Oryctolagus cuniculus: one gene and its partner. The protein of the gene in region 1 binds, or shares a complex with, the protein of each later gene. Links are inferred from orthologs where the notes say so. Each region holds a gene or a part of one and is shown on either strand. Other genes may lie near its edges.

What was found. Proteins that work in one complex are often made in the same cells at the same time.
Region 2: the proteins of RAB11A (region 1) and RAB11FIP3 are in contact, whole or in part, in a crystal structure (PDB 2HV8), measured with the Homo sapiens proteins. The link is inferred for Oryctolagus cuniculus from reciprocal best matches to the Homo sapiens genes RAB11A and RAB11FIP3. Residues at the interface, in NP_004654.1 of Homo sapiens: Arg33, Ile44, Gly45, Val46, Glu47, Phe48, Ala49, Thr50, Trp65, Arg72, Arg74, Ala75, Ile76, Ala79, Tyr80, Arg82; in NP_055515.1 of Homo sapiens: Asn731, Phe732, Gln735, Ile738, Asp739, Arg740, Ile742, Val743, Met746, Glu747, Pro750, Ser751, Leu753, Glu754, Val755, Lys756.

The regions. Positions count from the first base shown.
Region 1 is NC_091443.1:88,893,599-88,897,241, reverse strand, and holds part of RAB11A (ras-related protein Rab-11A), read right to left. Parts: intron 1,912-3,643; coding exon 1,716-1,911; intron 1-1,715. UniProt on the Homo sapiens protein: The small GTPases Rab are key regulators of intracellular membrane trafficking, from the formation of transport vesicles to their fusion with membranes.
Region 2 is NC_091450.1:34,135,511-34,139,153, reverse strand, and holds part of RAB11FIP3 (rab11 family-interacting protein 3), read left to right. Parts: intron 1-2,936; coding exon 2,937-3,077; intron 3,078-3,643. UniProt on the Homo sapiens protein: Downstream effector molecule for Rab11 GTPase which is involved in endocytic trafficking, cytokinesis and intracellular ciliogenesis by participating in membrane delivery. Recruited by Rab11 to endosomes where it links Rab11 to dynein motor complex.

The DNA of each region.
Region 1 (3,643 bases):
CTAACACCTGAGCCATCGTCTGCTGCCTTCCACAATGCATCAGCAGGAAGCTGGATTGGAAGCAGAGTAGCCAGGACCTGAAGTGGCACTCGTAATATTTATTTATTTGAAAGAGAAATCTCCCATCTACTGGTTCACTCCCTCAAAGAACCACAACAGCCAGGGTTGGGCGAGGCCAAAGCCAGGAGCTTCCTCCTAGTCTCCCATGTGGATGCAAGGGGCTAAGCACTTGGGCCACTTTCTGCTGCTTTCCCAGGTGCATCAGCCAAGGAGCTGGATCGGAAGCAAAGCAGCCAGGACTGGAACCCATATGGACGCCAGCACTGCAGGTGGCAGCTTAACCCACTGTGCCACGGTGCCAGCCCCTCAGCACTCTCAATACGGGACACAGCTGTCCCAAGAGGCGGCTTAACCCACTGTACCACAATGCCTACCCCTAGAAACATATCTTGTTTCCAACTTGTGGTTGCCTTCCCATACAAACATTTACCAGAAAAGAACAACAAAATAGAAGCAAACACCAGAAGAATTCAAAACATGGGTCACATATTTTTAAAAACACACTTACAGGGGCCAACATTATGGTGCAGTAGATTAAGCCAATGCTTGCAAGGCTGGCAATCCACATCAGGGTGCTGGTTGAAGTCCTGGATGTTCCGCTTCAACTCAGCTCCCTGCTAATGCTTGGGTCCCTGACACTCATGGGAGATCCAGATGGAATTCCTGGCTCCTTGCTTTGCCCTGGCCCAGAATCCAGTGTTTGGTTATTTGGGGAATAAGCTAGGATTATATCTGTTTCTTCTCTTTCAAACAAGTCTCTTTAAGAAACACACACACACACACACACACACACACTTAGAAATAAACATCTAAGAATCCTATCTGTGGTTTCACTTTCCAGTTTCAATTACCCACAGTCAAACCACAGTCTAAAAACATTAGATGGGAAATTCTAAAAATAAACAATGTGTACTTTCACTTTTTCATTTTATTTGAAAGAGAGGGAGAGACAGGGAGACCTTCCATCTGCTGGTTCACTTCCCAAATGCCCAAACAGTCAGGGCTGGGCCACACTGAAAAGCCCAGAACTCAGTCCAGGTCTCCCACATGCGTGTCAGACTCAAGCACTTGAGGCACCATCTGCTGCCTCCAAGGGTGCGCGTTAGCAGGAAGCTGGACTGGAAGGAGAAGAGCCAGGACTTGAACCAGGCACTCCAACATGGATGCAGCATCCCAAGTGGCAATTTAACTGCCTGTACTGCATGCCCACCCTAACAATACATATTTCTCAAGTGGCACCTGAGTAGCATAATAAGATCTCATGCAGTCCCACTCCATCCAGGCTGGGACAAATCTTCCCTTTGTCAGTTGTATCCATGCCACATAAGCTGCCCACCCATCAGTTACCAGATCAGCTATCGTGGTATTATGGTGCTTAAGTTCAAGTAACCTTTATTTCATTTAATAATAATACCAGGCATAAGAATAGGGATGTTGGCAACTCAAATGTCAAGGAAAAGCCAAAATTTAAAGTTAAAATCCTTTAAGTTTACAGATATAGAGTTTGTTACTATCCATGCTTTTGGGTATCAATGGTGGTACTCAAATGTATCCCTCATGGATAAGAGAAACCACTGTACATCTCCTATTACCAAAAGTAGCTAATTCACTTGATAGAAATCTGTTTTGCAGAACCTAAAAACAATGAAACTTACGCTGATGTTATAGCTCGGTATCGCTCTTGCCCTGCCGTGTCCCATATCTGTGCCTTTATTGTTTTCCCATCAACCTGGATGCTTCTTGTTGCAAATTCTACTCCAATGGTGCTCTTGCTTTCCAGATTAAACTCATTTCGAGTAAATCGAGATAGAAGATTACTTTTTCCAACACCAGAATCTCCAATAAGGACAACTGAAAAGACAAAGAACGCAATGTCAGGTGAATGAGATAACCACATTCAGAATACCACTATGCTTTCATCAGAATGTTTGCCTTCAACGCAAATAAAGAAAAAAAAAAAGATAGGACATCTTATTTTTCAAAAGATTTATTTAATTTATTTGAAAGGCAGAGTAACAGAGACAGATGGGAGAGAAAGAGGTTTTCCATCTGCTAGTTTACTCCCTAAACAGTCCCCACAGCTCCAGTCTGGGCCAGGCCAAAGACAGGAGCCAGGAGCTCCAGCTGGGTCTCCCTCACGGGTGGCAGGGGTCCAAGTGCTTGGGTCATCCTCCACTGCTTCCTCAGGCGCATTAGCAAGGAACTGGATCAGGAAGTGGAGTAGGTGGGACACAAACCAACACTCTGACATTGGACGGTGGCAAGGGCAGCTTAACCTACTATGCCACAACCCTGGCCGTAGGTTATCTGATTTTTAAAAAGGGATGGTGGGCAGGAGGTCGAGTAGCCCATGTCTTGACCAGTTATCAGTCAGTAGAACCAATTTATCTTCTGTTTCAGGGCCTGTGGTATGGCACAGCAAGTTAAGCCAGCTCCACTTCTGACCCAGCTCCCCACTAATGCACCTGAGAAAGCAGCAGAAGGCGGCCCAAGTACGTGGGCTCCTGCCACTCGGGAAATCCAGATGAAGCTCCTGGTTCCTGGCTTTGACCGGATACAGCCATTTGGGGAGTGAACCAGTGGATGGAAAATCTCTCTCTCTCTCTCTCCCTCCCTCCCTCCTTTTCTCCCCCCTTTCCTCCCCCTCTTTCAAATAAAACAAATCTTAAAAAAAAAAAAAAAACCTATATTCTTTCATAATGACTTCCACACATTACAGATGTGGTACCATTTTAAACAAGCAATTTTAATCAGGTGTACTAGCCACTGATGGCAGGTATTAATTACCATCAATACTAAACCAATCTTACTACTGCAGAAGAGAACTTAAAAAAATCAATCCAAAACTAAATGAACTTAAAATGTATCAGACATGAAAACAACAAAGGATATTAATAGATATGGAGGAAGAGAATATGTTTTATTTAGTTACCTCAAATAAAAGGTGTGACTTGAGGACTGACATTCATTCAACATACAAAGCATCAGGTTTATAACCTTTGCACTCAGATCATAGAAACTAAAATGATCTTTAATAGTTGCTTGTATCAGATTACTACAAAGCTGGGGACCATTCCCCCCACACCACACACACACACACACACACACACACACACATACACAGTAACTAAAACAAACCTTACCCCACTAAAGGTAAACAAGGGCCTAGGAAGCTAATACTTCTCACTTATTGGCACACACTTTCACTTATGAATTAATGACTTTTTTAAAAAACAGGTTTAACTAGATGAAATTACTTATGATTCCTATAGGAGACAATGTATTTACTATGTAACTTTTTCACTCCAAGTGATCATACTTATGAATTTCAAAAACAATGAAGGAGGCAGACATTGGCCTCAAAGTTAAGACACAAATTAGGACATCCTTGTTCCACGTTTGAGTACCAGCTCCTAATTCTTGCTTCCTGCAAATGTGGACTCTGGGGAAGCAGTGGTGAGGGATCAAGTAACTGGGCTCCTGCTACCCACATGGGAGATGTGTTGGCCATTGCATGGCATTTGGGCAGTGAATCAACAGATAGGAGCTCATTCTTTCTTTCTCTCTCTCTCTCTCTGAATAA
Region 2 (3,643 bases), on another chromosome or scaffold:
TTCCGGATCCCAGGCCGTCTGTCTTGTTCGCTTGCTGAGAGGAGGCCCCCGATGGGTGCCTGCAAAGAGGTGCGTCTTCCCTTCCCTGCCCCCCCTCCAGTCGGGGTTCAGCTGAGTATAAGATGATGTTGCGTCAGCTGGCACACGGGCTCCGGCTGCCCCCGTGTGTGTTTCTTGCCTGGGATGTTTTCATGAGGCCTTTGTTGTTTTCTGTGTGGTTTACTCAGTTTCCAGCCTTGAAACCTTCAGCTTCAGAAAGATTTCTAGAATTCTATTTCTTAAAAAATTTTACTTATTTGAAAGGCTCAGAGACAGAGATCTCCCACCTGCTGGGTCATTCCTCAAATACCCCTAACAGCCGGGCTGGGCCAGGCCGAAGCCAGGAGCTGGGAAATCAATCCAGGTCTGCCCCACGTGTGCCAGGGCCCAAGTGCTGGAACCCTCACTGCGGGAGTGCAGCTTGGACTCAAACCCAGGCCTTCCACACGGGCTGTGGGGGCCCAGGTGGCGAGCCTGCCCCTGGGGGTAGACTAAGCCCAGACCTACCCCTAGGGGAGCCCTGAGCCCCATGCCTGCCCCTGGGGGTAAACTGAGCCCATGCCTGCCCCTGGGGGTAGACTGAGCCCATGCCTGCCCCTAGGGGTAGACTGAGCCCATGCCTGCCCCTGGGGTAGACACTGAGCCCATGCCTGCCCCTGGGGGTAGACACTGAGCCCATGCCTGCCCCTGGGGGAGCCCTGAGCCCCATGCCTGCCCCTGGGGGTAGACACTGAGCCCATGCCTGCCCCTGGGGGTTAGCCCTGAGCCCCATGCCTGCCCCTGGGGGTAGACACTGAGCCCCATGCCTGCCCTTGGGGGGTAGCCCTGAGCCCCATGCCTGCCCCTGGGGGTAGACACTGAGCCCATGCCTGCCCCTGGGGGTTAGCCCTGAGCCCATGCCTGCCCTTGGGGGGTAGCCCTGAGCCCCATGCCTGCCCCTGGGGGTAGACACTGAGCCCCATGCCTGCCCCTGGTGGGTAGACTGAGCCCATGCCTGCCCCTGGGGGTAGACACTGAGCCCCATGCCTTCCCCTGGGGGAGCCCTGAGCCCCATGCTTGCCCCTGGGGGTAGACACTGAGCCCCATGCTTGCCCCTGGGGGTAGACACTGAGCCCCATGCCTTCCCCTGGGGGTAGCCCTGAGCCCCATGCTTGCCCCTGGGGGTAGACACTGAGCCCCATGCCTTCCCCTGGGGGAGCCCTGAGCCCATGCTTGCCGCTGAGGGGTAGCCCTGAGCCCCATGCCTGCCCCTGGGGGGTAACCCCTGAGCCCCATGCCTGCCGCTGAGGGGTAGACACTGAGCCCATGCCTGCCCCTGAGCCCCATGCCTGCCCCTGGGGGGTAACCCCTGAGCCCATGCCTGCCCCTGAGCCCCATGCCTGCCCCTGTGGGGTAACCCCTGAGCCCATGCCTGCCCCTGGGGGTAGACACTGAGCCCCATGCCTTCCCCTGGGGGAGCCCTGAGCCCCATGCCTGCTGCTGAGGGGTAGCCCTGAGCCCCATGCCTGCCCCTGTGGGTAGACACTGAGCCCCATGCCTGCCCCTGTGGGTAGACACTGAGCCCATGCCTGCCCCTTTGGGTAGACACTGAGCCCATGCCTGCCCCTGGGGGTAGACACTGAGCCCATGCCTGCCCCTGGGGGTAGACACTGAGCCCCATGCCTGCCCCTGGGGGGTAACCCCTGAGCCCCATGCCTGCCCCTGGGGGGTAACCCCGGACCCCATGCCTGCCGCTGGGGTCAGTTGTTTCCAGCCTCTCCTGTGCCTGATCTGCCTTCTCTGAAGCCCTGGGCGTTTTCTCTCGTTTTGTTTATTTTCCTTTTCCAGCTTTGTCTTTGTGCCCTTTCGTCTCCCTGTATGTCCTCATTTTTCTCCTTCAACTCCTTCTATTGAAATTTTAAGTTTTTCTTCCCATAGTTTTAGTTGCTGATGGTTTCTGTTACCTGTCCTCTGTCACAGCTGCTTGCATCTCAGGGGTGTGGGACGTCAGCCCTCTGACGTCCACGTCAGGGCCTCCCCCCTGCTGTCTCCACGTGGAGAGTTTTCTCAGAGTCCTGTCTTTGCTTGCCTTGCGCTTTGTGGCACAGACCTTCCTGCGGCATCTGGTAGCCGTTGCCATCCGTTCGCTCTCTGTGCGGAGAAGGCAAGTTCTGTGTCCAGAGCAGGGCTTGGGGCAGGGCTGTACTGCGTCCCTGGGCGGGGCCTGCAGCCTTTCTCTCGGGGATGACCGGTCCCTGTCTCCTGCCGGTGGTCCGCGGGGGTCTAGGAGAGGGCTCCTGGTCCCTTTCCTGTGTTCTCCCTGACACCTGTGTGGCCTGGAAAGGGCCGGGCTGTAGCCCAGGTTCCTGCTTAGCTGTCCCCTCCCCACAACACCTGGGGCTCCAGTGTGCCTGGCAGCCAGCGCTGGACCGGTCCTGGGTGTAGTGTGCTGTGGCCTCACGCACACCCTCGGGAGACAACCCTGGGCTGATTGTGCTGCCCCAGTCTCAGTCATGGCTGATAGGAGCTGACAGTCTCCACAGTCAGGTTGGACATGCGCTCTCTGCCTCCCAGAGACCCTGAGCCCGGCTGGTTGTGCGTAGTGGCTGTGGGCCGAGCAGCTGTGGACAGGCACTGGTGAGCGAAGGCCTCTGTGTGCACTCCTGTCCACAGGCCTCAAGCAGGCAGGGTCAGGTGGGCAGGGGTGCACGAGGGCAAGTCCTGCCACCCCAGACGCCCCCAGTTGGTAGGGGCTGGGGGCCATTGGAGGGGCATCCCCCTCCTGCCCCTTCCTTCGGGGGGCACAGGCTCTCCAGGTCCTGGATCAGCGTCCAGATGCTGCAGGAGAAAGGCAGGCCTCCACAGCTGGGGCCACAGGCCTTGGAGCCCTGCTCATGCGCTGTGCTCTGCCCTGACAGAGCCAACGCCCTGGAGGAGCAGCTGAAGGAGCAGGAGCTGCGAGCCTGCGAGACGGTCCTGGGGGAGGCCCGGCGGCAGAAGGAGCTGCTGTGCAGGCTGGAGCGAGAGAAGAGCATCGAGATCGAGAACCTGCAGGCCAGGTAGGCCGGGCCGGCGGCAGTGTGCAGGGGTGAAGCGCTCTCAGAAAAGCAAGACGCAGTGAGGAAAGGCCGGCGGCAGTGTGCAGGGGTGAAGTGCTCTCAGAAAAGCAAGACGCAGTGAGGAAAGGCCGGCGGCAGTGTGCAGGGGTGAAGCGCTCTCAGAAAAGCAAGACGCAGCGAGGAAAGGCCGGCGGCAGTGTGCAGGGGTGAAGTGCTCTCAGAAAAGCAAGACGCAGCGAGGAAAGGCCGGCGGCAGTGTGCAGGGGTGAAGCGCTCTCAGAAAAGCAAGACGCAGTGAGGAAAGGCCGGCGGCAGTGTGCAGGGGTGAAGTGCTCTCAGAAAAGCAAGACGCAGCGAGGAAAGGCCGGCGGCAGTGTGCAGGGGTGAAGCGCTCTCAGAAAAGCAAGACGCAGTGAGGAAAGGCCGGCGGCAGTGTGCAGGGGTGAAGTGCTCTCAGAAAAGCAAGACGCAGCGAGGAAAGGCCGGCGGCAGTGTGCAGGGGTGAAGTGCTCTCAGAAAAGCAAGACGCAGTGGGGAAAGGCCGGCGGCAGTGTGCGGGGGTGAAG